Linked DNA regions of Pelodiscus sinensis. The protein of the gene in region 3 interacts with the protein of the main gene of each other region in a pairwise test. Links are inferred from orthologs where the notes say so. Each region holds a gene or a part of one and is shown on either strand. Other genes may lie near its edges.

What was found.
Region 1: the proteins of VAMP5 (region 3) and STX16 interact in binary tests that used the Homo sapiens proteins (3 or more experiments, as listed by UniProt). The two-hybrid records come from large-scale screens. The link is inferred for Pelodiscus sinensis from reciprocal best matches to the Homo sapiens genes VAMP5 and STX16.
Region 2: the proteins of VAMP5 (region 3) and ERGIC3 interact in binary tests that used the Homo sapiens proteins (3 or more experiments, as listed by UniProt). The link is inferred for Pelodiscus sinensis from reciprocal best matches to the Homo sapiens genes VAMP5 and ERGIC3.

What each region holds. Positions count from the first base shown.
Region 1 is NC_134728.1:12,905,534-12,916,010, reverse strand, and holds the start of STX16 (syntaxin-16), read left to right. Parts: upstream 1-3,247; 5' UTR 3,248-3,639; coding exon 3,640-3,774; intron 3,775-8,056; coding exon 8,057-8,068; intron 8,069-10,477. UniProt on the Homo sapiens protein: SNARE involved in vesicular transport from the late endosomes to the trans-Golgi network.
Region 2 is NC_134728.1:31,053,478-31,063,954, reverse strand, and holds the start of ERGIC3 (endoplasmic reticulum-Golgi intermediate compartment protein 3), read right to left. Parts: upstream 5,787-10,477; 5' UTR 5,543-5,786; coding exon 5,455-5,542; intron 3,338-5,454; exon of another isoform or gene 3,204-3,337; intron 1-3,203. UniProt on the Homo sapiens protein: Possible role in transport between endoplasmic reticulum and Golgi. Positively regulates trafficking of the secretory proteins SERPINA1/alpha1-antitrypsin and HP/haptoglobin.
Region 3 is NC_134738.1:5,427,884-5,438,360, reverse strand, and holds the start of VAMP5 (vesicle-associated membrane protein 5), read left to right. Parts: upstream 1-4,233; 5' UTR 4,234-4,480; coding exon 4,481-4,483; intron 4,484-10,477. UniProt on the Homo sapiens protein: May participate in trafficking events that are associated with myogenesis, such as myoblast fusion and/or GLUT4 trafficking.

The DNA.
Region 1 (10,477 bases), on a different chromosome or scaffold from region 3:
ACTTCTGTCCGTCGCCGGCAAAATCCTTGCAAGAGTACTGATGAATAGACTGGTACCCGTGATAGTAGAAGATCACCTCCCAGAGACACAGTGTGGCTTCAGAGCCAACCGGGGAACCACAGACATGGTGTTTGTCCTGAGGCAGATTCAGGAGAAGTGCCGGGAGCAAAACAAAGCGTTGTACGTCACCTTTGTGGACCTGACAAAAGCGAAAAGCGTTTGACACCGTTAGCAGGCAGGGACTTTGGAAAATCCTGGAAAAACTAGGCTGCCCACCGAAGTTCCTCACCATGATCATCCAGTTTCATGAAGACTAGCTTAGACAAGTCAGACATAGCAGCGACCTCTTGCAGCCTTTCCCTATTGCAAACGGTGAAACAGGGCTGTGTTTTTGCTCCCACACTGTTCACCATTTTGTTCAGCATGATGCTCCAGCAGGTCACAGAGGACCTCGACAACGCTGATGGCGTATACATCCGTTTTCGTCTCAACGGGAGCATGTTCAACCTGAGGCGTTTGCAGGCCCACACAAAGATCATGGAGAAACTGATCAGGGAGCTGCTGTTTGCTGACGATGCCGCCCTTCTTGCTCACACAGAGGCAGCTATGCAGTGAATTACGTCTTGTTTTCGCAAAAACTGCTCAGATCTTCGGTCTTGAAGTCAGCCTGAAGAAGACTGAAGTTCTTTATCAGCCTGCACCCCACAAGGAGCACCATCCACCAAGCATCTTCACTGAACAAACAGAACTGAAAGTTGTCCACCAGTTCAGCTACTTGGGGTGCGTGATCTCGTCTGACGCCAAGATCGACAAAGAAGTCGATAACAGACTGGCTAAGGCAAACAGTGCATTCGGCAGACTATACAAACGTGTCTGGAACAACAGCAACCTCAAAAGAGACACGAAGGTCAGCGTCTACAAAGCTGTTGTGCTGACCACTCTCTTGTATGGCGCTGAGTCCTGGGTCACGTACCGTCGTCACCTGAGTCTCCTCGAACGTTTCCATCAGTGCTGCCTCCGCACAATCCTCAATATTCATTGGAGTGACTTCGTCGCCAACACTGAAGTCCTCGAGTTAGCGGAGGTCACCAGCATCGAGGCCATGGTCCTCAAGATACAGCTTCGCTGGGCAGGGCACATCGCCAGGATGGAGAACCACCGCCTACCCAAGATCGTGTTGTATGGGGAACTGTCCTCTGGCTTCCGCGACGTAGGGGCACCACGAAAGCGGTACAAAGATTCCCTGAAGAAGTCCCTCACTGCTTGTTGTATCGATCACCGTCAGTGGGCAACACAAGCAGCTGATCGCAACTCCTGGCGGCATACAGTCCACCAGGCCACCTCCTTCTTCGAAGATACCCGCAGGGCCTGTATGGAGGACAAAAGGAGAAGGAAGAAGAACCGTGACCCCTCAGCACCTATCCCGGATCAGACCTATATTTGTAGCCGTTGTGGCAGGACCTGCCTGTCCCGCATAGGCCTTGTCAGCCACCAGCGTGCCTGCAGAAGACGTGGATTTCTTTCCTAGATCCTCGTTCGCGAAGTCAAGCCATGATGATGGACAAATTAGATAGAGATTTCTGTGGAGTTCAAGTCCCATTGGAATGGTGCGCCTGGGTCCTGAGGCAAGTCCCTTTGACTTAGCCTTCTCAGAACTCATCTGACCTCAGTGTCTTTATTTTTTAAGAGTTTGGCAGGTGTACGAAAGGCTCAAGGCAGGTGGGTGGGAGGCTCAGGACTAAGGAGGGAGATTGGCAGGCGAGTTAAGGCTTAGAGGAGGCCCAAAGCCAGCTGGGTCTGTGCTGTCCTGCCAGCGGCTCAGTCCCAGGGAAGGGGTGGAGCTGTGCTGCCCTGCTGGTGGCTTCTCCTGTGGTGGGGTGCAGCGGTGGAAGCTATGCTGTCCAGCTCTGCCAGGCAGATGGTCCTTTGGGTGGGGACGCTGGCCAGCGGGGTTTCCTTCCCCCCCACTGGATCCGAATGCCAGGGAGTTTGGCTTGAGGCTTTGAGAGAGGGAGGCCACATACCCAGACAGTGGCCTACAACATGGAAAGCTCCAGCCCCAGCTGGCCACTCTCTTACTGGTGCAGCTATCCCTCTCTGGTCACTCTGGAATAATATTGTTCCCCTGCGCTCACTGCCCCCTTAAGGTCACTGAGGAACATAACTGTCCAGAATATTAGAACTCTGCTCTTCTGTGTTATGGAAAACAATCTGATTCCAGGCACATCTCATTGTCCTGGAATCTTGCTTTAAGTTATGATAAGAGGAAGCTGCATACCAAATGTGGTGATCCTAGCTCTTATGGTTTAGGAGGAGTTCTTGAACAAACGGACTCACAGATGGAGACAGACAGACAGACAGAAACCCACATTTCTAAAATATATAGTAGAGAAGATTTTGGGACCTCTTCTTGAACAGTTCTATTGCCTCCATTCAAGACTCTAGAAATTTGCAAGGTGAGAGGGATATAGGCCTCAGTGCTGCAAAGACTTGGGTGTGTCATTTTCAATGGTCTGATGAAAATCTGTTTTGGTTTTGGCTGAATTATAAAGATTTAAAATATATTCTTCACTCTAGTCCCTGTTACTCTGATGCTTATATAAGTGTTTCCAGCTGTCACGATTTTACCCAGAACCTTGCAAAGGCTAGCACTTCTGGAGTCTTGTAATTATACGAGAAGCTCATTTTCTGCACTCTTGGTTGCAATGAAAAGCTGAAGCATGTAAACAGGAAATGCTGGGAAACCAGAAGGCAAATCAGCAGAACCCAACATGTGTGTGTTTAACAGCTCAGGCTTTTAAAGCCAAATCTCATGATTTGGGGGCCTGACACATAGTTTCTGTTTTGGGGTGCCAGATGGTTTCAACAAAAATACGGGACACACTTGATATTACATCACAATCTACATCTTATTTAGAAAATTCCAGACATTTACATTTTCTCAATTTGTTTCCCGAACAGAAAGCTCAAATACTGGACTGTCCTGTTCAAAACCCAACACCTGGCAGCCCTATAACATTCTGCATGCTTTAGCCTACTAACAGTTTGACACTTCCCCCCTTTTTGGAGCTTAGTCGCAGAGAGGTTAGTGAACCAGCTGCTGCCCTCCCGTTAGGGCGCCCCACTTGACCCCTTTTGCCCCAAACAGTGCAGACTCGGGAGCCCAGCCAGACCGCCCTGGTGCCGGAACGTTAGTGCCGCGGTGCGCGGGCGGGGGGAGGCAAGTACTAGTGATGCACAACGCGGAAGTGAGCCGGGCCGCAGTCAGATCCGGGGGGGGGAGGATGGATGGAGCCCGGGGCTGCCACACGGGGCCGGGGCTCATTCCCGCTCCCTAGTCCCTGTGAGCGGCGGGAAGGAGCCGCCGGGGACTGGCGCTGCATCCGCCCCGGGATATCCGGGCTGAGCTAGGGCGGGAGCCCCAGGCAGGCCCCGCGGGGGAGGCTCAGGGGCTCCCGGGAAAGGGGGGGGGCACAGGTCTGACCTGGGAGCCGTTAGGTGGGGAAGCCATTGGGGGGCCGGTCGGGGGGCTGTACATCTCGAAGGGGAGTTGAGGAATCCGGGGACCCCTGGGAGTGCAGGGGGGGTTGAAGACTCGGGCCCCTAGGAGTGCACGGGGGCCCCCCTAAAAGTAGAGCCATGGCCACCCGGCGTTTAACAGACGCGTTCTTGTTGTTGCGGAACAACGCGATCCAAAACCGGCAGCTGCTGGCCGAGCAAGTGAGTAGTTACAGCTCCTCCAGCCCTCTGAATTCACGTAGCATGGCTGCTGCGGTGAGTCTCCTCCCTTCATCCTACTGTATCCCACACTGGCTGCTCTAGTGCTATCTGCTTAGGACTGTCAGACAGCAGGTGTCCTCCTTGTCTCCTCCCTCCTCTCTTCATCCCATCTCCTAAGTCACCCCTTCGCCTCACCTTTCTCCCCTCAAACCCCCCTTCCCCTTTCTTCTCCTCACCCTGCTCTTTTTTTCTTACTCTACAAGCTCCCTTTTCTCCAATTGCCTTCCTTCTCTCCTATCTCCTCTATGTCCCACACTTCTAACACCACCCCCCTGCCCACTGTCCCTGCCCCATGTAAAATGAATAGAATATATATGTCATTTCTTATTGATCTTCTCTGTTTGCTCCTTAAATAATAAACTTTATTATTATTATTTAAATAGCCTCATATTATCACTAGACATTAAGTTGTTGTCTTTCCTTTTTCTCCTGACCCCGCCCCCTTTTTCAGGTAAAAGGAATAAAGCTATCTTTTTCATTCTGATCTTTTCTCACTTTGCTGTAGGCACTGTTAAAACCTATAATGCAAATTGCCACCGTTATTTTAACCCTTTCTTATTTTGAGACGTTCTCTTTTCTTCCTTTTTCAAAGTAAACAGTCATTTAAACATCATTTCAACTATTTGAAAATACTTTATAGTAAAATAGTAAAAGTAGAAGTTAATTGGACTGCAGGCACAAGAGTACACCTGTGTACACCACTTTGCAGGATGGATGCTTGGAGTGTATTCTCTCCATTGGTAATATATACATAGAGCGCACGCGCGCGCACACACACACACACACAGACACACACACACACACACACACACACCCAGCGTCTGAGGCCCCAGTTTCAATGCTTTAACTATGAAAAGTGAAAACCTTCCATTTTTTCCCTTAATTTCTTATTATTTCCTCTTCTGTGTTGGTTTTTATAGCTTTTGTTGTTTGTGTTCTATTGCAAAGTTGTTATAATACACAGTGCAGATACCACCAAGCACAATCCTCAAGTGCAATCCTCATTCCATACCTGTGGCTGTTTATAAATGGTCTCGTCAAATTCCAGTATTGCTTTGAATCATGTATGAAATAATTATCAAGAGAGTGAGGCTTTTGTAAATGCACATAAACAGGGCCAATTTGAATTGAGTTTAAAAATTGGGTTTCAGTAAGTAATGAAGCACCACATTTGACAGGCCAGCCATGTAGACTTCTGGTTGGTAACTGAAACTATATGGCTGTGTTGACATTGGCGCGATCTTGCACCAAAGCAGCCGCTTTCGCACAAAAACCTGCTGCCTGTCTACATTGGCGGGGAATTCTTGCGCAAGAACACTGATGTTCTAATGTGTGAAATCAGTGCTTGCGCAAGAACTATGATGCTCCCGCTCAGGAATAAGCCCTCTTGCGCAACTGTTCTTGCGCAAGAGGCCAGTGTAGACAGGCAACATGAATTTCTTGCGCAAGAAAGCCTGATGCGCAAAGGCACATGCCAGTGTAGATGCTCTTGCGTTAAAGAGTATTTGCGCAAGATCATGCCAATGTAGGCATAGCCTGTTAGTATAGCATTGTCTTCGTCCATTTCTGCTTTTAGGTCAGTCTTCTCATTTATCTAGAAAAGCCTCTTCTAAATAAATGGGTCCTCCTTTCTTTCTCTTGCTTTTCATTAATGCATTTTCTATAAGGAGAAACAATAATTAATGCTACAAATTCTGTTCCAACATAGGTGCTGCAGTAGACTAATCTTTGTCCATAGTTAGCTTTATCCTACCTATCTTTGTACAAGCTACTTACAGTATTACCTTTACAGAACAGTAAAGGTCACACCTAGTAATATATTTTAAATGTATTTTATTCTGGCACTCTGTTTGGCTTTTCTAAAATTGTATTTGTACACATAGTTATTAGAGGTTGTTAAATCACCAAGATTTTTTTAGACATTCTAAAGTTTTAATACTTGCCTAGAAAGGTTACTGATGATGAAAACAAGCATAGAAACAACTGACCAATCAGATTCAGTTTCCATTGAAAAGGTAATGGGATAGTAATACTTAGCACTTGTTTATGCTTTACATTTTCAAAGTCTTTACTGGCATTGTTGGGGAAAAAAACTATTTTGCCAAGTGCTGGTACAAATGCAGCCAACATTGGCAGTGATTGAAAAACTTAACTGTCTCCTTGTTGCCCCATAAGAACATAAGAATGGCCATACTGGGTCAGACCAAAGGTCCATCTAGCCCAGTATCCTGTCTTCCAACACTGGCCAATGTCAGGTGCCCCAGAGGGAGTGAACAAAAGAGGTAGTCATCACATAATTCCTCTCCTGTCATCCATTTCCAGCCTCTGACAAACAGAGGCTAGGGATGCCATTCCTACCCATCCTGGCTAATAGTCATTGATGGACCTAATCTCCATAAATTTATCTAGTCCTTTTTTGAAAGCTGTTAAAGTCCTAATCTTCACGACATCCTCTGGCAAGGAGTTCCACAGGTTGACGGTGCACTGTGTGAAGAAAAACTTCCTTTTGTTTGTTTGTTTGTTTGTTTAAATCTGCTACCTATTAATTTCATTTGGTGACCCCTAGTTCTTATGTTATGGGAACAAGTAAATAACTTTTCTTTATTCATTTTTTCCGCACCAGTCATGATTTTATAGACCTCTATCATATCTCCCCTTATTCTCCTCTTTTCTAAGATGAAAAGTCCCAGTCTTTTTAATCTCTCTTCATATGGCATCCGTTCCAAACCCCAATAATTTTTGTTGCTCTTTTCTGAATCTTTTCCAATGCCAGTCTTTTTCCTCATGTGAAATTAATAGTTGGACCAAGTTAGTAGTGGACAGATGTCTGTTCCATAATTCCTACTTAGTTACATCCATGTTTGTCTCTACAAGAAAGTACAAGCCGGTCCCCAACTTACAGCCACCTCGACTTATGACCATCTGCACTTATGACCAAAGCGGTCGTAAATGCAGGCTCCGAGTTACAAATGCGATCCGCGCTTACGAATAGCGCAGTCGCAATGTAACTCAATGGGTTCCGAGTTACGATCATTCCGAGTTACGGCCAAGCGTTTGGTCCATAACTCGTTCGTAACTCGGGGATCGGCTGTAAAGAACTGCATAGATTGAATTGTCTTCCATTTATCTGTTTGAGGTACCTATCACTACACTTATTAATATAGCATCTATGCAAATTGCCTTGTCCTCTGTAATATGGTGCCTCCGAAGCAGGGTTAAAGCACACTGGCAGGGTGGCAAAGTCTAATTGGTAACTACATTGTTTTTGGATAAACAGGTTCAAGAGTTGTTCATCTACCACCCTTCATAAATACAATGAATTACTGTAAAAAGTTATTTTTTATTCTGCATTAGAATAGTTCAGCCTTCTGATACAGTCATGAAATCAATGTAACTGGAATTTTAGCTACTCAGGCAAAGTTTAAATCCTTTTTTTTTTATATCTAAAGCTGAGTATATGACTATAAGAGCTATTTAAATGTAGCATGAGACACCGTTTTACCTCTGAAACATTTTGTCCTTGCTTTCAAATTAACATTTGCTTTTAATTTTTCAATTATCCTCCTGAAAACACAGTTGTTAAACTGGTAAAGTTGAAAATATATAGTAGTTGTTCTATATTTTGGTGTTTGGGTGTGGCTTTTTTGTTTGTTTTTTCCCATTTCCTCTTAAAGCGATTGTAGTGCTTATCAGTAAATGTATGTCTTGAGTCATCATTTCAAGCTTTACCCAATAAAAGTATCAAATCATAATGCATACAGGTCCTCCTATCTGTTTCTTGAATCAAATGTGTCAAAGTGTATACTGGATGTTGAATATTATGGGCACATGATCCTTGCTATATTAAACTGTTCTAGCTCACATTAAACATGTTTTACACAGCAATTCTTCTTTCTGATGGTAATCAAAGTCATATGTTAAATTGCATTTAAATCAATTTCTTGACTGTTTCTTGATTTTTTTCAAACAATTATTTTCTTGTTTACCAGCAAAAAACCAAAATACATTTTAAAGAAAAATGTGCTTTTGTGTTCCAGGGTAAATACTTATGTAGATACATTGAGAATGCTGTAATTTAATTAGCCATTATTGTTTTAAGATAATTTGTGGTTTGTTCTTGGTAAACAGTCTATTTATTTAAAAAAAATAAAGCTTCAGTACTTTCTCAACTGACTGTACCCTATCTCTGTCCTATGTGTGTGTCTCTGTGTCTCTCTCTCTCTTACCTTTTGCTGTCCCTAAATGGATGGGGCTGATGGAATCAACAAATCATCAGGAGCTGGATGAGGTATTGTTTTTTCATGTTTTGTTCCACCATGGTGCATCTAATATAGATGACTAGAAGATTTACCCAGTATTGCTTGGGTCCTTAACTCAATCAGTTTGGTTTTTTGGAAAATAAAATTTAAAATGTACATGTTTCTTTGGAATCATTGCTCTGGGGTGTGGCTGGGGATTAAGGGTTCAGTATTCAGGCTGCCCTCAGGGAGAGAGGAGTACTCGACCCTCTGTCACCATAGCATCTTGGGACAAGGTGAGAAGTGCCTCTCAGTGGCTGCTGCAGCTCCAGTGGGCACATCTGGGGGATGGGGTGCATGTCCCCCGGCTAGGACAAGTATGGATTCATCTACCCCCTGATCTCCCTAGCCATGGTGAGCAATGTGGCAAACTGTGCACTTTCCCCTCATTCTCTGACAAAGGGGATCAACCAGCAATATTCCTCTATGAATTGGGGTGGGTGGGGGAATCCTGGGGAGTAGGAGGCTGGGCTAGGGCAAACTCAGATGTGGGCCGGGATACGCCCCCAGCCACCCCTTTTCACCTGCCTAGTGATTTTGTGTCTCTTTGGTATGGTTTTATGAGACTCAGTCCCATTCTAGGCTTATTCCATTTACCAGGTATAACCCAAACTCTTACTTTGTTTTAAGTTATGATAGGAAACTGTATACTGAATTTGGTGATCCTAGTTTTTTCCATTTAGGAGTTCTTGAACAGACAGGCAGACTCTGTCAAATATGTAGTAGATGATTAGTTAGAACACTCATATTGTTTTACTGTTAATTTCTGAGATTTAACAGTGTGAGATCAGTGATGTATTTTTCATAATATAAGAATGAGGCAGCTTTTTCATTAGAGTGAAGAAGAGTTTTGTGAGACATTTTGATGTGCAGTGGGGTCATATTACAATATTACTACATAGTTACATAAAACTGTCCAGATTTACTGTGTACACGCTGCATATAAAAACTTTATACAGTGAAACCATTAACTATTATTCCTGCTTTTGTTAACTTTAGTAAGCATAGGGCTTATTACTGTGAGTAGTCCCTTAGGATTCAGTGGACTAAGCAGTGTGCCGAGTAACACATGCAGCAATAGGGTCTTTGGGAGTGTCCTTATTATCAACAGATCTTCAAAGCTTAAGCCTTTAAATCAGAAAAGCATTATATGCTAAAAACAATTAATTTGCACAACTTTTGATTATCTGCACAGCTACAAAATACACGTTGCCATCTACTTACACAAAGTATTTGTGGGATTTCTATAATGTGACATCCCCTGTTTACATGACATTTTGAAAAAAATCTCACCTTCGTGATCACATATAACCCATTTGCACTTGTACAGCAAAATTAAATGCAACCCAATCAACCTACTTTGAAATGCAGCCCAAATAAAATGAACTGAAGAAAATGTTTATCAGTAGCTTTTTCTTAAAGTACAATTATCAAATACCACTCATGCTGCTTTATTTAATTATAAATCCATTCTGTCTCTTTTCAATGTCCTATATAGAAGTCGAGTGTTCCATTTGTAGTGGCAGCAAAGCTTTGTAGCAATACTTCAGTGGAAATGAGAGGAAGCTGACTGAATTAAATTAGAAAGCATGGTCTAGTGACTAAAGCTCAGGATTAGGAGTCAAGAGACCTACGTCTTATTCCTAGCTCTGCCATAAATGTTCTGTGGACAAGTCATTTAACCTTTCCATGCCTCTGTTTACCCATTAGTTTTATAAGGATATTACTTCAAGGCTTTGTGAAAGTATTCTTTTGAGGTACTCTGAAGTAAAATGCTATAGAAGTATTAAGTAATTTATGTGATTTACTGTCCTACTTGTCTTACCTCAGAGTTTTCTTGTTTGTACAGGCCGATAATGAGCCTTACTCAGTGTAACTACTTACTGTGTTCATTTTCCTTTTTAATTACAAGTTATTTCAATCACATATAAAAAAAAAGAAAAAACATTGAAGGTTGCAACATCTAACTCAGCAAAACAGAACAGATCCAGGTGAATTACTGTGTTCTATGTGTCTAAATCAGTTTCAGATTCTTCTGATGTTGCTAGCTTTTTGGCGTAAATAGGGATGTGATAGTGTAGTTGAGTCAATAATTAACTGATAAGCAAAAGCTTATTGGTTAATGCTATTGACTACATGCATTCCCCCACCACCTAATTTTTTAGAGGGATGGCCAGCAGCCTGGGAGCTACTCCTACCTCAGCTCTACACTTAAAGTAGTTTAGGAGCCGGGTGGGCAAGCAGCCCAGCTCAGTCCCAGCTCATGCCAGGACCCAGAAACTCCCAGGACTCGGCATGAGCTGGGACTGAGTGCTTGCAGTGCTAAACCCTTATCGATTAATCGTGTAGTCGACAAATTTTTTGTTGACTACACGATTAACGGATTGTACCCTTCTTAA
Region 2 (10,477 bases), on a different chromosome or scaffold from region 3:
GGAAGACTGAGCTTCATCTAAATCAAAATGGAACCAGACTGCTAGCACTTAACATTAAAAAGGTTGTAGAGCAGTTTTTAAACTAAGGGCTGGGGGAAAGCCAATGGGTGTTGAGGAGCACATGGACTGCACAGAGACAGCTCTTAAAGGAGGGTCTATTAATAGAGATTTGCTATATTCTATTCAGGAGGAGATGATGGAAGTATAGATCAGATCAAATGAGACACAATCAAATGAAAAAGTCTAACACATCAGGAAATGGCAGATAGATACATAGCAACACATTTTTGAAGTGCTTATACACAAACGCTAGAAGTCTAAATAATAAGATGGATGAATTAGATTGCCTCGTATTTAAGGAAAATACTGATAAAATAGGCATCATCGAAACTTAGTGGAATGAGGACAATCAATGGAACACGGTCATACCCAGGGCCAGCAGGAAGTCCCGTTGACTCCGGGCTGCACATGGTGTGCCGTCTTTGAAATGTACAAGAGTCCCCAGTGGGGGCTCTTACGCATTTCAAAGTGGCAGCACAGCATGGAGCCCCTAGGCTCCATGCCTCGCTGCCGACTTGAAATGCCACGCAGAGCTGCGGTTATGTGGGGACTCCCCAGCTGATCCCCGGCTCCGTGTGGCATTTCAGTAGAACCCGGGATTAGCTGGGGAGTCCCTACATGACTGCAGCTGGGGTTAGCTGGGGACTCCCCAGTTTACCCTGGACTCTACACACGGCAGCATCGCACGACTGATCCTGGGACAAGCTGTGCGACGCTGCCCCTTTGAACGCTGCCTCGGTGTTTCAAAGGGACAGTGCCACACAGCTGATCCCTGGCTCAGCTATGTGGCGCTATCCCTTTCAAATGCCGAGGAGGCATTTCAAGGGGCAGCACTGCACAACTAACCTGGAGAGATTCCCAAACCTGAGCCATGCTTTTTAGGTGACAAATCTGAGTAATTATCCCAGATTAAGGTGTCATTAGAAGAGATTTTGGAATAAATTGATAAACAACAATAACAAGTCACTGGGAACAGATGGCATTCACCCAAGAGTTTTGCGGGAAATTGCGGAACTATTAACTGTGGTTTGTAACCTATCCTTTAAATTGGCTTCCATACCTAATGACTGGAAGATAGCTAATATGATGCCAATATTTAAAAAGGTCTCCAGAAGTGATGCCAGTAGTTACAAACCAGTAAGTCTAACATCAGTACCAGGCAAATTAGTTGAAACTATAGTTAAGAATAAAATTGTCAGACACTTAGATCAACATAATTTGTTGGGGGAAAGTCAACATGGTTTCTGTAAAGGGAAATCACGCCTTACTTATCTGCTAGAGTTCTTTGAAGGGGTCAACAAACATATGGACAAGGGGGATCCAGTAGATATTATATAGTTAGATTTCCAGAAAGCCTTTGCCAAGGTCCCTCACCAAAGGCTCTTAAGTAAAGTAAGTTATAATGGGATAAGTGGGATGGTCCTTTAGTGGATTGAGAACTGGTTAAAAGACAGGAAACAAAGGGTAGGAATAAATGGTCAGTTTTCCTAGTGGAGAGATAACTAGTGGGGTTCCCCCCCCAAGGCTCTGTCCTCGGACCAATCCTATTCAACTTATTTATAAATGATCTAAAGAAAGGGGTAAGCAGTGAGGTGGCAAAATTTGCAGATGATACCAAACTACTCAAGATAGTTCAGACCAAAGCAGACTGTGAAAAGCTTCAAAAAGATCTCACCAATGATTCATAAATGTCTGCTTCAATTACCTTTGGTAAATGAAATCATTCATTTTCAGGTGTAGCTATAAAACTTATCTGAGAAATTTTCAAAATAAATCACTATTTAAAATGTGTAGTGTGTACCTTCTAAAAATGAAACCTACATCTATCTCTGAGTTGTGAAAAATATGTATTAAGGGTAGAAAAAACAACAAGAATAAACGTAACTGGCTCTGTGGAGATAGGAAAATCAGTGGATATGATAGACCTTGACTTTAAGCAAAGCTTTTGACACGGTCTCCCACAATATACATGCTAGCAAGTTAAAGGAATATGGATTGGATAAATGGACTGTAAAATGGATAGAAAGCTGGCTAGATGATCACTACCCGTTGGGCCTGACAAACGGCTTGATGTCAGGTTGGCAGTCGGTTTCTAGCAGAGCGTCCTAAGGATCTGCTCTAGGACCAGTTTTATTCAACGTCTTTATTAAAGACCTGGATGAAGGGATGGATTGCACCCTCAGCAAATTCGCGGATGACTCTAAGCTAGGGGGAGAAGTAGATACATTGAAGAGCAGGATAGGGTCCACAGTGACCTGGACAGATTAGAGGATTGAGCCAAAAGAAATCTGATGAGGTTCAACAAGGACAAGTGTAGAGTCCTGCACCTGGGATGGAAGAATCCCAAGCATTGTTACCGGCTGGGGACCGAATGGCTAAGTAGCAATTCTGCAGAATAGGAACTGGGGATTACAGTGATGAGAAGCTGGATATGAGTCAACAGTGTGCCCTAGTAGCCAAGAGGGCTAATGGCATATTAGGGTACATTATAAGGAGCATTGCCAGCATATCCGGCGAAGTGATTATTCCCCTTTATTCGGCTTTGGGGAGGCCACATACGGACTAGTGTGTCCAGTTTTGGGCCCCCCACTACAGAAAGGATGTGGATACATTGGACAGGGTCCAGCGAAGGACAACCAAAATGATTACGGGGCTGGAGCGCATGACCTATGAGGAGAGACTGAGGGATTTATGTTTGTTTAGTCTGCAAAAGAGAAGAGTGAGGGGGGATTTGATAGCAGCCTTCAACTTCCTGAAGCAAGGTTCCAAAGAGGATGGAGAAAGGCTGTTCACAGTAGTGACAGATGGCAGAACAAGGAGAAATGGTCTAAAGTTATAGTGAGAGAGGTCTAGGTTGGATATTAGGAAAAAATTATTTCACTAGGAGGGTAGTGAAGTACTGGAATGGGTTACCTAAGGAGGTGGTGGAATCTCCATCCCTAGAGGTTTTTAAGTCTCAGCTTGACAAAGCCCTGGCTGGGTTCATTTAGTTGGGATGGAGTCCTGCCTTGGGCAGGGGCCTAGACTTGATGACCTCCCGGGGCCTCTTCCAGCTCTATGATTCTATGATATAGAATACCATGATTAAATCCAGTCTTCCTGGAGTAGTGATTTAAATAAATTTTATTTAAAATCAAATTCACCTTGAAGAAAAAAGTGAGGGAGGATTTGATAACAGCCTTCAACTTCTGGGTGGGGAGAGTGTTCCAAAGAGGATGTAGAGAGGCTGTTCTCAGTGGTGACAAATGACAGACAAAGGAGCAGTGGTCTCAAGTTGCTGTGGAAGAGGTCTAGGTTAGATATCAGGAAAAAAGATTTCCTAAGGAGGGTGGTGAAGCACTGGGATAGATTCCCTAGAGCGGGGGTGGAATCTCCATCCCTAGAGGTTTTTAAGTCCCGGCTTGACAAAGCCCTGGCTGGGATGATTTAGTTGGTGTTGGTCCTGTTTTGGGTAGGGAGTTGGACTTGATGACCTCCTGAGGTCTCGTCAAATTCTATGATTATCCTGTGGGAAGCAAGTGTAAGGAAAAAGTGCTCAGGAGAGCAGGCAGTTTTTTAAAGACACATTATTAATTGCACAAAAGAAAACTATCCCAATGAGGAGGAAACATTGGAAAGATGGCAAGAGACAACCCTGACTTACTCAGGAGATCTTCAAGGATGTGAACTCTCTGAACTCACAGTACAAAGCAGCAGTACTGAAGCCTCAATGGTTCAATCTTTGAAGGCAGTCAAGCCAAATGACCTACCCTGAGGGAAGGATGAGATTCCTGGGGATCTGGTACATCCAAGGGGTTCCTCCAAGAGACTGTTCAAACCTGGATAGCATTTATTTTGTGGCTCCATTACACTACTTATTCCAGAACAAGGCCAGGATCCTTTGGAAAACCATATGGGCTCATATAATTAAAGACAGTATCATAACAGACCACTGGCAGGGGAGGAGGGAGGTGACAGCATTAAGATGTCATGGGCAACCTTGACTCTGGTATTTCCTAATTTTGAAGGAATTGACTTTGCTACTTCAATATTCTTCTTATAGGATGCTTTTGACTTTATTATTTAAACATATGTATTTGCATAAGGCAAACCCTCCTGCTTTACGGCATCAGCCAACACCTGGCAAGACTCAGCAATAACTTCCCTATATGTTGATTATTCCAGAATAACCCATTGGGAGGTTTCTTGTTCTTTGCTCTGAACTAGTTTGTACTGGCTACTGTCACCAACAGGCTACTTGACTGACTGAATCACTACTTTGCTCTACATTTCTGCACTACAGAACCTCTGCATATAAATACTTGGGTATTCTACACAGATACAAATAGGCACGTCTTAAAGCACAACACAGTCTCTCATGTCTTAGTTCAAATGGGTAAGATGTATAAGGGTGCAAGTGGAACACCAATGGTTTGCCTAAAACGTCCCAAACAAAACAACTAACAAAAAAACCGAGAGCTTGCAGAATCTTGCCTGGAAGGATGACATAGGCAGAAGGAAGCACACAATTTATTTGTAAAGTAAAACTCTGGTCATCTGAAGAAGTGGGCTGTGTCCACAAAAGCTCATGATACCATCTACATGTTTTGTTAGTCTTTAAAGTGCTACCAGACCATTTGTGGTTTTTTAAGTTTATCCTGTACAGACTAACTCAGCTACCCCCAAAGCTTCCTTTATTTGAAGTTTTAAAGCTGAGGAGGAGTCAAGTACTGTGCCCACTGATCACCTTCAGAGTTAAAATAGGAACCATATGACTGTGAAACAGGTTCTAGGCCAAGTTCTGGGGCCTGAATAAAGAATGAACAGCTTCCACCCTACTCCATCCCTTGTTGCTGTCGCTGGCTGAGCTAGCACTGGTCAGATTACGCCTCCGAGTGGTAAAAACAAGAGGAATGGAGAAAAATAAGAACAGGAAGCAGGGAAGAAAGAATCAGTCAGGAGGAAGGCATGTGTGCATACCAGACTGAAAGCAGGGATCTATGTCCCTCCTACCCCATGTGGCACCAGCCCACAAACTCCAGCTGGGGACACCAGCCTGGATATGAGATGATCAAACACTCTGCACTGTAATGGTGGCGGGGAGGAGGCGCAGGGCGCCAGCAGTGAGTGGCGGTGAAGTGACCTACAGGGACAGCGCAGGCAGGGGCTGCGGGCCCCTTCCAAGGGCAGTGCGGCAGCTCCCTGCGGGCACGGGAGGCGCTGCAGCCAGCCAGACTCCAGCGGCTCCCGACGCCGCTGCCTTGGGCGGGAGGCCGGGAAGCCCGTTCCCGCGCACAGGGCGCCGGCTTGGAGCAGCCATGGGCCCGGAGGAAGTGGCGGCCTGAGCCCACAGAACAACTTCGGACCGGCCGGGTCCCCCCGCCCGTCCCCCCCCCTGCCCGGCCCCCCCCTCACCTAACGCGCCCCCGCAGGTCTTGACCCGAAAATCCTCCAGGGTCTTGGGAAACGCATCGAACCGCTTCAGCCTCCACAGCGACTCCATAGTGAAGCGACCCCGACCCGGAACTAAAACCACTTCCGGGCGCCAGACCCTACTTCCGGGCAGGACCGCTCGGAGCCCCTCGCGGCGCAGGGCACCCTGGGAGCCCGCCCTGTGCTGGGGCGTGGCCGGGACCACGGTGCGGCAGTGGGGTGGCCGCTTCAGCCCTGATGGGTTCGGGCATCACCCCCCCCCCAGACTGCCGGGCCCCGCGCAGCCTCAATCCCACACTGGACTCTCCCTCCCTATGCTGCCGCCCTGGGCGCCCCGAGTAGCTTCCATTAGCGAAACGGAAGTTGGTGAAGGACGAAGTGACGTGAGCAGTCTGGACGCGGAACGCCAGGGGAGTCACTTCGTTCCGCGATGCATCCTGGGAGTTGTAGTTTCCAAAGTGCTGCCTGCTGTGATAACCTTGTGACCTGCGTGTCTCAGCAAGTGGGAGATCTCAGGGGATCTCTCAGCCCCAACCCCCGCCCCTCCCTTCCCCCTACACCACTACCCCGCCAGCCATGGGATCCCTCAGACCCTGTGTCCTCCAGCCCAAGCTGCCACTGTGGTGAGAAGGGATTGGAGAAAGCAGCCAGGAAAGTTGCAGCCCCCCCGCCTTCTCTCCACAGCCCCATCCCTCCTTTTTCCCAGTCCGCAGAACCCCTCAGGCCTCTGTCTCCTCCCTTCGTAACCCACACTCCTTTATAGACTCCTAGGGCAGGAAGAGACCTCCAGAGGTCCTCAAGTCCAGCCCCTTGCCCAAAGCAAGACCAAACGCAACTAAATCAACCCAGCCAGGGCTTTGTCAAACCGACACATAAAAACCTCTCAATATGGAGATTCCACCACCTCCCTGGGTAATCCATCCCAGTGCTTCACTGCCCTCCAAGTGAAATAGTTTTTCCTAATATCCCACCTAGACCACCCCACTGTAACTTGAGACCATTGTGCCTTGTTCTGCCATCCGTCACTACTTCCCAATCCTCTTTGGAACCTCTCTTCAGGAATCATAGAATACTAGAACTGGAAGGGACCTCAAGAGGTCATCGAGTCCAGTCCCCTGCCCTCATAGCAGGACCCAGAACTGTCTAGACCATCCCTGATAGATGTCTATCTAACCTGCTCTTAACTATTTCCAGAGATGGAGATTCCATAATCTCCCCAGGCAACTTATTCCAGTGTTTAATCAATGACCGTTAGGAACTTTTTCCTAATGTCCAACCTAAACCTCCCTTGTTACAATTTAAGCCCATTGCTGATTGTCCTGTCGTCAGAGGCTAAAGAGAACAATTTTTCTTCCTCCTCCTTGTGACACCCTTTTAGATACCTGAAAACCGCTATCATGTACCCCTCTCAGTCTTTCCAAACTAAACAAGCCCAATTCTTTCAGTCTTCCTTCATATGTCATCTTCTCTAGACCTTTAGTCATTCTTGTTCTTCTTTGGACCTTCTCCAATTTCTCCATATCTTTCTTGAAATGTGGTGCCCAGAACTGGACACAATACTCCAACTGAGGCCTAATCAGTGTTTATACGTTTTTGAACTGAAGTTTCTTTATGGGCGGCCAAGGCATCAAAAAGTAGCAGAGATTTGGGTTTTAAAAACCCGCCTTTTTGTGCATGAAAGCAGCTATCTGTCCACATCTTCATCACCTCTGTGTTCATCCATCCCTTCTTGTTACAGACCACAGACATGCCGGCTGGTAGTTTTTCTTGAGGCATCGTCACTCTCTTAACAATTACCATCGGTTTTAATTTCTCACCACCTGCCCTACATGCCAATACGACACTAAAACAGGCGCATTCATTACCTGTGATTGCTACACTGACTGTCTTCACTCCAGTTGCAGCAACCGACCGAATTGCAGGTATATCAAAGGACATGGGCACCTCGTCCATGTTAATGCTGCCATTTGGTTTCAGGCCCAGCTGGTTAATTTCTTGATGGATAAAATCTCTGAAATCATCCATCTTCTCCTATTCATCAGGAAGCCATTGCCCAACACTTGTCCGTGCTTGAACTGAAAGGTTGTTTCATCTCATAAATTTGTAAACCCAGTTACCTGAGCCTCCACGAAAATCATCGATTTTCATCTCCATAGCCAGATGTGATCTAGTGTAGGAGGGGATTGTAATCTCAGGCAGAATATTAGGGTGCCAGATCTGGGAGGGGTGTGGGTGTGAGTAGCGGGGCAGGAGCTGGGGGCAGACGGTTGGGGCAGGGAGGGGCTGGAGTGCCGGAGGCAGGCTCTGGCCAGGAGACTTACCAGCCAGCAGCCAAACCAGCCTGCCTGCCGGCAGAGCTAAAGACCTGCAGAGCTTAAAATGTTTCTGCCTGCTCAGCCCTGTGCTTAAGCGAGTAACTGAGCAGGAGGGGAGAGGGGTTTTGCTTCCTGGCTGCCTGTTATTCAAACAAGCAGCTCCTATTGGCCGGTTTCTGGCCAGAAACTGGTCAATGAGATTGTGTTTGGGGGTGGAAGCAGCATCTGAATCTTCCCCCCTCCCCTCCGGACTCATAAAGAGACAGTGCCCCGCAGTTGCGTTTCTGCGTTCAGTATTTTGCCCAGGCCTGTGCTTGAAACACCCAAGCCCCATTCTCTAATCCCTGTCCCAGCTCAGGGGCCCTCTCAACAGCAGCCAAGAACTGACCAACCCCATAACCTCCCTGAGCCTTTTTCACCTCTCTGGCTCTCCCCCTTCTCTGGGTTTGCCAGTGCAGACTCTGCCCTCCCAAGGACTAACCAGAGACTAAGTGCCTCCAGCCCAGACACCCTGCCCTTCTGCTAGGGTATGACTGCAGGCTCCTTCCCTGCAAGCCCATCTGGCGCCAGCTGCCTGGTTTATAGGCCTTGCCTGTCCCTGCCCAACTGAGCCTCGGATCTAATCAGTCCCTGCTCCCCGCCTCCTCCTCCACCTACAGCCTGGGCACTTACTTAGGCCTGATTTGCCCCCTCAGGGCCAGTGTAGGGAGCAAACAGCCCATCACAGTCCCTCAGCTAGGGCATCAAGTCCAGACTGGCCACTAGGTGCCTGCCTCTTTTGCAGGCCTCTTTTCCTGACAGAAGAACTAATGCACAAGGCACACAAAGCTTTCCCGCCTGCAGCTGAGCTGGGGGGCCAGGCCAGTCTTCGTCCCCCACCGGAGGCCAGAGCTCTCCTCTGTCCAGGCTCTTCCGCGGGCCCCTGGGGTTAGGCCCCCGTCGGGGAGATCTGTCACTGCGATGCTTCTCCAGGGACAGCAGCTGAGCCTGGCCAAGGCTTCCAGCCAACCCCAGGGAGACCTGCTGGCTGGGAGTAGGCCATTTTAGACACCTGCCGACCACCTAGGAGGCTCCTCCCACTCAAAGGGCACCTCTTGTAGGCTCCCCAATCTGGTGGGTTCCCCAGAGCCCTCACCCGCTTGGTTCCCTTCGCTCCCGGACTCGGGCCTCTCTCGGCAGCAGCTTGTGTCTCTCCCTGGGCCCCTCTGACTGAGCTTGGGTAACTTTCACTAGTGCCAGGGGCTGGGTTACTAATCAAAGGCCTGGTGGGGCCTTCGTGAGACAGACTGGGCTCTCAGGCTCCCGAAGGGGCAGCGGCCCTGGGACCCAAACGAACCGAGCTAACTCAGTATTAGCTACCTGTAGTGGGTACAGTCCAGTCGGAGCCTGGTTACGGGCGCCCACGCGTGGGGGGCTGCCCGGCTCGGGAGCATTAGCAATAGGCTCCGTTCAACGGTTGCCATTTCTGTGGCTGGACTATGTGATCTACGTCTCAGGCCACTTCCACTGACACTGGCGCCAAAGCGAGCAGGCTGGGGAGGCGATGCCGTGCTGAGCCCACACACACACACACACACACACACACACACACCCCTCTGTACACACACAGACACACACACCCCTCTGCACACACACACACTCACTCACACACACCCCTCTGTACACACACAGACACACACACCCCTCTGCACACACACACACTCACTCACACACACCCCTCTGTACACACACAGACACACACACCCCTCTGCACACACACACACTCACTCACACACACCCCTCTGCACACACACACACACACACTCACACACACCCCTCTGCACGCACACACACACACACTCACACACACCCCTCTGCACACACACACCCCTCTGCGCGCACACGCACACACAGACACACCCCTCTGTGCACACACACACAGACACACCCCCCTCTGCACACACACACACACACCCCTCTGCACACTCACACACACAGACACACACACACCCCTCTGCACACACACACACACAGACACACACACCCCTCTGCGCGCACACACACACACTCCTCTGCGTGCACGCACACACACAGACACACCCCTCTGCACACTCACACCCCCCCTGCGTGCGTGCGCACACACACACACACACACACCCCACCCCGTGCAGTGTGCTAGCAGCCCTGCCAAGCCCTGCCTAGGTCCTGCTGTGGCCCAGGGCTGGGCTCTGGTGCCCTCTGCTGACACAAAACTGGTAAGGCCAGTTCCATAAGGCTTGCTCGGGCTTTGTTCACACAGATCTCACTGGACCCGGTGTTCTCACACTGTGCGTCGGGACCCCAAAGCGGGCCGCTAAGGCTGGTGTTGGTGCTGGGTCCCAGCAAGTCTGAAAGCCAAGCCCATGCCCCCCCACCTGGGGCTACGGTTACATGCCCCCTGCCCAGGGCAGAAGCCCTAAGGTTCGAGCTTTGGTTCCCCGTTCGGGTGGGCTCAGTCTACAGTTCCCCCTCTGGGATCGTGTGGTGTTTTGGGGAATGTGACCTCTTGTGCCTTCCCACATACATGTGTCGTCTCTGCCAATCAACCACACACCTCGTTTGGAACCAACAATTTGCAATTAGACAGCAGGAGACAGACAGAGAGAAAAGCAAAAGCAGGACAGTCCTGTGTTAAACCAAACCTACTAGCAAAACAAAAGGGAAAGCAGCAT
Region 3 (10,477 bases):
CCCAGCTCAGGCCCTTCTGGGTCCCATCAGGGCCGTCCCATTGCAGTCAGTGCCTGACACAGGCAAAGTCCTGGGCACTTTGCCCAGAGCCTTCCTCCCCCTCAGTGGCCCTACTGCCCCCCAGCCACACTCCCTCCTGGGCCCGGGAGCAGCTCCCACCAGGCTCCAATACCTCAGTTACCCCCTGCCTCGCTGCAGGCCCCCAGCACAGCCCCTCTGCACTGCACCCCCAGCCCATTCCTCCTGGGAGGGAACCTGGCTAGCACCTGAGACATGGGACCTGCCACACCCAGCCAGAGCTGCCATGTGGAGCCCCCATTCCTGCAAAGGACCACTCAGAGATAGACCAGGCCTCACCCATGGACCAGGACCACGCCCCTAAGCTGCCACTGGCACACACTGTGCCCAGATCCTTTTATACCCTCGGTCTCCTGGGATTCAATCCACAGCAAACTACTATAGAGCCCTGTGAGGGAGCATTGGGGTCCCCCGATCCTGCACCCCCATAGCAGCAAGAACAGACTCCACAGCCAGTAGAACAGGGGGCTTTATTGCTCCTCCGGGATACAGCATGGCACAGATGTGATGTGGCTACAGGAGCCAGGGCCAGGATGCCTCAGACCCCTTAGGGTAGGGGGTCCATCGCCCCCTTAACCCTCAGCTTAGTCTGTTCCCTTCATGTTTCCCAGCCAGGAACTGCCTCACTCCCAGCCCCTGTCCTCCCCTCCCCTCCCCCCCCCCCCCCCTCCAGCCAGCTGACCGTCTCTACCTCCCTTTGTCTCTCCCCCTGGGAAGAGCCTTATCTGCTCAGGCTGGGACTAGGTGTCTGGACCAATCCACGTGTGGGTGAGTCAGTGGGAATCGCATCACAGCGTAGGGGGACCCCGATTACAGAGCAGACAGCCCCCCACTACATCACAAGCCACCATTAGGTTTCAGAGTCAACACCAGAGCAGGGGGATGGGGCCCTCCACACACCCCTCCACACTAGCCACTTGCAGACGCAGGGAGTCACCTGCCAGCTCCTTGCAGTACCGTGGCTGGAGCCTTAATTACCATGTAACATGCTGAGGCCTTGCGCCAGCTCCCTAAGCCAAAGAGCTGGCCAAGGCTGGCTCCTGAACTGCCAGCAGCTCCAGCCAATTGGGGGCCAGGTCCCACTCCCCGCCCCTTGCCAGCGGAACCCTATTGTAATTCGCAGGGGGACCGTGCAGCAGCTGAGCTGGGTGTCAGACAGGAAGTGTCAACGGCCCAGCACTTCCCGGCCCCAGGAGGGGGGAGGCCTCCTTCAAGCCGCTTCCCATTAGGTAATTGAACAGTAAACAACCGTCCTGCTGGAGCAGTAGCGGGGGCTCCGCATTCTGCCCCCCCCCTGTAACAGTGCCAGTCACAGGGGACCCCAGGGCCTTGGGGGTGTCTGACTCCCAGGATCCCCAGTGCCACTGGTGGGCCCCCCACATGGCACAGCTGGGGTCCTGCAAATCACACTGGGGATGAGCCAGGGTTGGTGCAGAGGATCCCGGGGTTTCGGCCCACCATGCTCTGATGGAGCCCGTGGGTTGTAGGGCACAAGGCACTGCCATGGGTCGCCCGCCCATTGGGTGGCACCACGTGCCAATACCAGTGTGGGCAAAGCCTTTCTACTGCCCCTGCAGCATGAGGGCAGAGGAGCGGCTACAGCACTGGCAGGGCCGGCGCCGCAGGGGTGTACGGCACAGGGCAGTCATGGGGAGATCCACCCATCTGCTTCCGGGCAGTGGCAGGTTTGGGCCCTGAGCAGAGGGCTGCAGTCGGGAGCATCTCAGCTCACAGACAGTGAGGGGCCAGTCTTCCAGGAATGTATCCAGCTCTGTGTGGAGCCCTGTGATATTTTTGGCTGTTGCAGCATCCCCTGGCAGTGAGTTCCACAGGTTAATTGTGCCACACGTGGGGGGAGGGAGAAAAATCACCTCCTCCTCTTTGTGTCCAACCTACTGCTCTTCCTGTCAGTGCAAGGCTCCTGGGGTTTGTGTTGGGGGAAGGGGAACTACACGTCTCCATTCACATGTCCCGCCCCAAGCAGGTCGTGGGGCCTCTAGTGTATCCCCTCGCCGGGGTGCGTCTCCATTCTAAGCTGAACACCTTGAAACCATGCAGCCTCCCCCCGCGGAGCTGTCCCTCACCTTGTGCCCTTCCCGCAGGCTTGGCCGGCTCCCCACGGATCGACACGGGGTGCTGGGCGTTTCTCTGCTCTGACTCTCCTGGTCCCGGCTGGGGTGGGGCTGTCCCAGGGCTGCCGAGTCTCCTTGAGCAGGAGCAGCGGCTGGCCCCCGTCCCTCGCTGGGAGGAGCTGGGATTGGTTTTCGGTGGGCAGAGGCTTTGAGGTTCCCCATAACTGCTCCCGGCTTTGCTGACAGGCAAATGGCACTTCCCTGTGTGCTCCCTTTTCTGGACCGCACTGCCCAGTCATGGTCCAGGTACAACCGGGGACCCCGCTCACCGCTCTGCTTGGGGGGGGCCACCGAGTCCTGCCCTTTGTCCCCACCTGGCCAGGGCCTGGCTGCTTCATAGAACCCTAGAAGCCCAGGGCAGGCAGAGACCTCAGGAGTCATCGGGTCCAGCCCCCTGCCCAAGTCAGGACCAATCCCAACTCAATCATCCCAGCCAGGGCTTGGTCAAGCTGAGACTTAAACACCTCTAGGGATGGAGATTCCACCCCCGCCCTAGGGAACCCAGCCCAGCGCTTCCCCACCCTCCTAGGGAAAGAGAATCCACCATCTCCCTAGGGATCCCATTCCAGTGCTTTAACACCCTCCTAGTGAAAAAGTTTTGCCTAATATCCAACCAAGACCTCCCCCCCTGCAACTTGAGCCCATTGCTCCTTGTTCTGCATCTGCCCCCACTGAGAACAGCCTCTTGCCAGCCTCTTTGGAACCCCCCTTCAGGAAGTTGCAGGCTGCTCTCAAATCCCCCCTCGCTCTGCTCTTCTGCAGACTGAACAAACCCAAATCCCTCAGCCTCTTCTCATAGGTCATGCTCCAGCCCCCGAATCATTTTCATTGTCCTCTGCCGGACCCTCTCCAATGCGTCCACACCCCTTGTGTAGGGAGGGGTCCAGAACTGAACACACCACTCCAGATGTGGCCTCACCAGAGCCAAATAAAGGGGAATAATCACTTCTCTAGATCTGCTGGCAATGCTGCTCCTAATGCCCCCCAATGTGCCATTAGCCTTCTTGGCTACAAGGGCTCCCTGTCGACTCATCTCCAGCTTCTCGTCCACTGGAATCCCCAGGCCCTTTTCTGCAGAACTGCCACTTAGCCAGTGAGACCCTGTCCGTGGCCTGGGCCAGAGTGACAGGAAAAGCTTCTCCTGTTGTGAGGCTCCAGCCACCCCGGGGAGCCAGGTGGGGCCACCCAGCCTGCCTGTAACTGACGCACTTCTCCCTCTGTTGCAGGTTGGGGAGGAGCCAGGCACCCTGCTCCCCTCTGGGCTTTGCTCAACTTCCTACTTCCTCTCCCCTCCACCCTACCCCCCCGCTGGCTGGGAGTCCAGAGTTCACCTGGGTGCGTGGAAAGTAACCGAGGTGCCCACTGGAGAACCCAAGCTGTTCCCTAGGGTGCCTATGAGAGACAAAGCAGCAGGTGCCCCCGCTCCTGCCCACAGCTGCTGATCAGCCTCTGCTCCCGCATCCCCGAGAGCCTCTCTAGCCCCCTCGCAGCTGCCCCCCAACCTTGTCTTCCAAGCTGCAGGGTTTTCATGCAGCCGTGTCCACATCCCGCACTCTGGGCACCCCCGGGCCTGCCTCCTGTTGCATTCGGGACAGCTGAGCCCTGGATTCCCTGCAGCTCCTGGCAGGCGGAAACCGAGTCTGAGGGTAACCTTGAGACTTGTCCTCCTGGAATTGGGCCTGGCTCGAGCCCCTCCCCCACAGCTCTACAGCAAGTCCCAACCGAGGCGCCATTATCCCCTTTGTGCACAAAGGGAAACTGAGGCACCGCAAGGGGCGGGGATTTGGCCAAGGTCAGCTAGCAGGGCAGTGGCAGAGGCAGGTGAGGAACCACCCCCATTCTCCTGCCCAGCTCTGGGGCCGCTCATCTCGCCCTTCCCCGCCCTGCAAGACCCACCCCAGGCTCAGGAAAGGGGTGAAAGTGGAAAGACAGAAGGAAAGAGACAGAGAGGTCAGCGCCCGCCCCGCCCCCTGACGTGACTCCGGAGTGACGCCCAGTGCGGGACCCCAGCCTGGAGGGGCTCCGGAGTGGACAGGGCAGGGTGGAGGGCCCGGCGTGCGCTGCGGGCGGGGCCGAGCCGGCTCTAGAGCGCTCTTCGCCTTTCTGGGCGGGCGCTGCCCGTGGCCCGGCCCCGGCCCCTCCCTCCTGGCTCAGCGGCCGCTGTGGGGCAGGCTGGAGGCACCGCACCGCAGCCAGGAGCCCCCGAGCGGCTGGCAGCGCCCAGGACGGCGGAGTGAGCGGCGGGGCCAGGCGGCCTGAGATCCGGCGCCATGGTGAGGGGCGCGACGCGGGCGGCACTTTCGGTTTCTGGGCGCCTCGTGGGGCCTGTCCGGGGCCCTGCGCCCGCGGCGGTCCGCTGGCCCCGGCCGTGGGGCTCCCGCTGGCGGGGGCATGAGGGGCTGTTCGGGGCCTGCCCCCCTTCGAAATCGGTGTCTCCTCCCCTTTTCCCGGACTTGTGCCATCGCCAGCGGCTCCGCTCCCTCCCCGCGCCCCCACCAGGGCTCACATCCTGCGCTTTGCCCCAGAGCCGGCTGCGCACGGACCAGCCCTGCGCCTGTGGGGGCTGACGGGGTCCCCGCTGTAGGGCCCCGGGGCCCTCCTAGCCCTTCACCACGCAGGTCGCCGCCCTTACCCCCAGCGACCGTTGGGGAAACTGAGGCACGCAGCAGGGACGAGACGGGCCCAAAGTCACCCAGAACTTCAGTGGACTAGACCTCCCATGGGCCAGTCCCATGCTCCGTGCACTAGGCAACGCTGCCTCCGGGGTCACCCTCCCTGCGAGGGGCCTGGCTCTGGCCGCCGAGCCAAGAAGCCCCGTGCTCCAGGCGGGGAGAAGCGGCGTGTCGGGCCGGGGCCGGAGTTACGCAGGGAAATGGGTTTGCGAGGCCAAGTGCCCTGGAATGCGACATGGGGGGAATAGCCCCGCAGCCCCTGCCCGGGGAGGGCGCAGCCAGGGCGCGCGGAGGCCCCAATGCGCAGGACGCGCTCCGGAGAGCGGCCGAGGCCCCGCCGAGCTCGGGGAAGCCGGGCCCCCTGGCTGGGCCATGACCCCCGAGAGCCTCAGCCAGAGTGGGGCCTGCTATTGCGCGTGGGCGTCGCGCTGGCCCCTGGCACTGCCCCTGCTGAGTGCAGCAGAGCCGGGCAGCTCCCCTGGCAAACCCTTCCCCAGGGGCAGCCAGCTTAGGTGTGCCAGCTCTAGGGGTCCGCCCCCCGGATCTCCCATAGTGCCCCCCGGATCTCCCATAGTGCCCCCAGCTCTAGGGGTCCGCCCCCCGGATATCCCATAGTGCCCCCCAGTTCTAGGGGTCCGCCCCCCGGATATCCCATAGTGCCCCCCAGTTCTAGGGGTCCGCCCCCCGGATCTCCCATAGTGCCCCCAGCTCTAGGGGTCCGCCCCCCGGATATCCCATAGTGCCCCCCAGTTCTAGGGGTCCGCCCCCCGGATCTCCCATAGTGCCCCCAGCTCTAGGTGTCTGGCCCTCCTGGATCTCCCATAGTGCCCCCCTGCTCTAGGTGTCTGGCCCCCCGGATCTCCCATAGTGCCCCCTGGATCTCCCATAGTGCCCCCCAGCTCCAGGGGTCCTCCCCCCAGCTCTAGGGGTCCTCCCTCCCGGATCTCCCATAGTGCCCCCCAGCTCTAGGGGTCTGGCTCCCTGGATCTCCCATAGTGCCCCCCAGCTCCAGGGGTCCTCCCCCCAGCTCTAGGGGTCCTCCCTCCCGGATCTCCCATAGTGCCCCCAGCTCTAGGTGTCTGGCCCTCCTGGATCTCCCATAGTGCCCCCCTGCTCTAGGTGTCTGGCCCCCCGGATCTCCCATAGTGCCCCCTGGATCTCCCATAGTGCCCCCCAGCTCCAGGGGTCCTCCCCCCAGCTCTAGGGGTCCTCCCTCCCGGATCTCCCATAGTGCCCCCCAGCTCTAGGGGTCTGGCTCCCCGGATCTCCCATAGTGCCCCCTGGATCTCCCATAGTGCCCCCCAGCTCTAGGTGTCTGGCCCCCCCCCGGATCTCCCATAGTGCCCCCCTGCTCTAGGGGTCCGGCCCCCCGGATCTGCCATAGTGCCCCCCAGCTCTAGGGGTCCTCCCCCCAGTTCTAGGGGTCCTCCCTCCCGGATCTCCCATAGTGCCCCCCAGCTCTAGGGGTCCGGCTCCCCGGATCTCCCATAGTGCCCCCTGGATCTCCCATAGTGCCCCCCAGCTCTAGGGGTCCTCCCCCCAGCTCTAGGGGTCCTCCCCCCAGCTCTAGGGGTCCTCCTCCTTGGATTTCCCATAGTGCCCCCCAGCTTTAGGTGTCTGGCCCCCCCGGATCTCTCATAGTGCCCCCCAGCTCTAGGGGTCCGGCTCCCTGGATCTCCCATAGTGCCCCCCTGCTCTAGGGGTCAGGCCCCCCGGATCTCCCATAGTGCCCCCCAGCTCTAGGGGTCAGGCCCCCCGGATCTCCCATAGTGCCCCCCTGCTCTAGGGGTCAAGCCCCCTGGATCTCCCATAGTGCCCCCAGCTCTAGGTGTCTGGCCCTCCTGGATCTCCCATAGTGCCCCCCTGCTCTAGGTGTCTGGCCCCCCGGATCACCCATAGTGCCCCCTGGATCCCCCATAGTGCCCCCCAGCTCCAGGGGTCCTCCCCCCAGCTCTAGGGGTCCTCCCTCCCGGATCTCCCATAGTGCCCCCCTGCTCTAGGTGTCTGGCCCCCCGGATCTCCCATAGTGCCCCCTGGATCTCCCATAGTGCCCCCCAGCTCTAGGGGTCCTCCCCCCAGCTCTAGGGGTCCTCCTCCTTGGATCTCCCATAGTGCCCCCCAGCTCTAGGTGTCTGGCCCTCCGGATCTCTCATAGTGCCCCCCAGCTCTAGGGGTCCGGCTCCCTGGATCTCCCATAGTGCCCCCCTGCTCTAGGGGTCAGGCCCCCCGGATCTCCCATAGTGCCCCCCAGCTCTAGGGGTCAGGCCCCCCGGATCTCCCATAGTGCCCCCCTGCTCTAGGGGTCAAGCCCCCTGGATCTCCCATAGTGCCCCCCAGTGCCTGGGGCAGGTTGGGGGAGGCCTGTGTTCTGTCTCACCCATTCTGATCCCTGGGGGTATGTCTACACTACCCCGCTAGTTCGAACTAGCGGGGTAATGTATGCATACCGCACTTGCTAATGAAGCCCGGGATTTGAATTTCCCGGGCTTCATTAGCATAAGCGGGGAGCCGCCATTTTTAAATCCCCGCTGCTTCGAACCCCGTGTAGCGCGGCTACACGGGGCTCGAACTAGGTAGTTCGGACTAGGGTCCTATTCCGAACTACCGGTACTCCTCGTGAAACGAGGTGTACCGGTAGTTCGGAATAGGCACCCTAGTCCGAACTACCTAGTTCGAGCCCCGTGTAGCCGCGCTACACGGGGTTCGAAGCAGCGGGGATTTAAAAATGGCGGCTCCCCGCTTATGCTAATGAAGCCCGGGAAATTCAAATCCCGGGCTTCATTAGCAAGTGCGGTATGCATACATTACCCTCCTAGTTCGAACTAGGAGGGTAGTGTAGACATACCCTGGGAGATGGGCCTGGCGTGGGTTTGTGATGGAGTGGGGATTGGGGGTGTTAATCTGCTTTGCCTGGCAGCCTGCCCTGGCCCACCCCTCCTGGCACCCCCATGCAGCGGGGGAGCAGTGGGGAGCGGGGGACCCCTCTGCGCTGGAGGCGGCTCCCCTCTGCGATCACTTTGAAAGGGGGTTTGTTCTGGGCTGGTCCTCGCACCTAATGGGACAGAGGGGCCCCCCTGCAGGCTGGGCGGGGCTGGGCCCGGTTGGGCCCAGCTTAGGGCTGCTGGGTGTCCTGCGGGGGTGGGGTGGGGGGTGGAATTTAAATTATGCAGCGAGACTCCCTGGGGCCATGAGTGCCCCTCCGCCTCCGCCGCTCCTCCCCTGCTCTGGGCCTCGGTTTCCCTATCTGATGACGCAGGATCCGAGCGAGCCCTGTGAGCTCTGGCAGGCAGCCTGGCACCAGTGCCAGGGGGCTCTGCGCCCCGCACAGTGGAGCTGGCAGCGTGGGGGCTGGGCCACAGGGGAGCCGGGCTCCACACAGACCCTGGCCCTTCGCTTCCCTGCTCTGGTCATGCTGTGGGGCAAGGGATGCTCGGCCGTGGGGGGCAAGGGGAGTCTGGCCGTGAGATGTGGGTCCCTCCCCCTCGAGGAACCCACCTGTCCATGTCAGCAGGGGCTCAGCACGTGCCACCAGCCCGGCGCTTCCTCTCTGAGCCGCTCGGAAACCCCCTTCGGCCAGGAGGAGCCTCAGGTCTCAGCCCCCGGCCATCTGGGCTGTGGCCACACTCTGGGGAGGGGCTGCTGCTGTGGGTGCCAGTCCCCCCCGGGAGCGGGGCCCCAGAACCTCTCTGCCTGGTCGGGGGGCTGGGGGTTTGTCCCACTGCAGGAGGGGGGCTGAGGCCAGAGGTGGCGAGTGGCCTGAGGAGGCCACAGAGGGCCCAGCCCATGGCAGGCGCAGTGCTGGGAATTCCCTGCCCGGCAACTTGTTTTTCCAGCTCTTGCCACCTCCGGGCATCGATCACAGGGGCCCAGAACAAACAATAGCAACTTGGCTGGTTCCCGTAAACATCCACCCGCTGCCGCGCGGCCCAGCCGGACGTCCAGACAGCTCGGCCTGCAGGAAACCGCCCGGCTCAGGGCTGGCTCCAGGCCACGGCCTGTGAGAACGGGCAGAGACCGCACAGTGCTCCCCAAGCCCCGCACAGTGTACCCCAGCTGCTACCCCAATCCCAGCCCCCGCACAGCGTACCCCAGCTGCTACCCCCAAACCCCACACAGCGTACCCCAGCTGCTACCCCAATCCCAGCCCCCGCACAGCGTACACCAGCTGCTATTTCAGTCCTAACCCCTGCACAGCGTACCCCGGTTGATACCCAATCCCAGTCCCCGAACAGCATACCCCAGCTGCTACCCTAATTCCAGTCCCCGCACAGCGTACCCCAGCTGCTATCCCAGTCCCCGAACAGCATACCCCAACTGCTGCCCCCAATGCCTGCACAACGTACCCCACCAACTACCTACAACCCCAGCTCCTGCACACCGTAACCCAACTGCTCCCCCATCCATGTGCTTCACCCCCACAAATCCACATCTTCCAACCGAATCCCTGCCCTTCTGGAACTTGGAGCCCTGTGCCTGCTCCCACCTCACCCCAGCCGCTCCCCTTACAGCCCCAGGCTGGGGCCGCTGCAGAGCCGCAGGTGCTCGTAGATGGGGGGGGCTCGGAGCAGCAGGGACCTTTGTGTGGTGTCATCTTCGGCATCCATGTCTGAGCCTTCTCGGGGGCCGTGGGCACGTGCGATGGCCGTGCTGGGAGCAGTGAGGTTCAGGGGGGCTGGGAGTCAGGACTCTGGCAGGGGCGGGGCACGTAGCCGTCCCAGCAGTGGGGCTGGGCACAGGGGTCTCGCCTGCCCCCCTGGCGCCCTGCCGCACGCGATGGGTTTCCCAGACTGTCCCTCCCCAGCCCAGCCCTCGCGGGTCACGCCGAGAGCTTCCTTCCGCCTGCCGCGTCCTGCACATGCGTTCGCCGCAGCCCCAGGGCTCCCCCGGTCCCACTTCCTGTGGGACTTGGCTCAGCTGACCCGTCCCAGCTGCCAGCAGATGCAGCTGGGGCTGGCTCGGGCCTCTCCACCCTTTGGCTGGGGTCTGCTCCTGGCGGAAAGGGTACTTCCCAGGGGGCTGGGCCCGCCAGCCAAGGTGCCTCGCTCCAGGAACCGCGGCCGTCACAGCGTCCGCCTGTCGGTGCCGAGAATTTACCCTCGTGGCTGTTTCCTGCTTTGGCCACGCGATCCCCCATGGGCGGCGCGGGCGGGAGGGGGCCTCGCCTGGGGTGGCAGTGGGGGGGGAGGGGGCGGCTGTGCCAGCACCTCTCTGCCAGGCCCTGCACCGCCCACACAGAGCTGACGGGGCCTCTTGGGCGGGAGGCGTCTCAATTAGAGGGGAAAGGAAGCAAGAGAGCCCTAAGTCTGCAGACACCACGCAGCCGCCCGGGGCAGGGCACCCACAGGCCCTGCCGGCCGCCTGGTTCTCAGAATCCTCCCGTCCACGCACCGTAAGGAAGGCTGGGCTGGTCCTTGAGCCCGACAGGGACTGGCCTCTGGGCCGCGGGTGCTGTGCCTGCGTTTAACCCCCTTGGCCCCAGCCAGGGATGAGAAATCCTGATTCGTCAGGTAAACAGCAGGTTGGCCTAATGTGTAACCGACTAGGCAGGCTCCCAGGTTGGCGGCTGCCCTGGACACTGGTTACCTGCTACCCTGG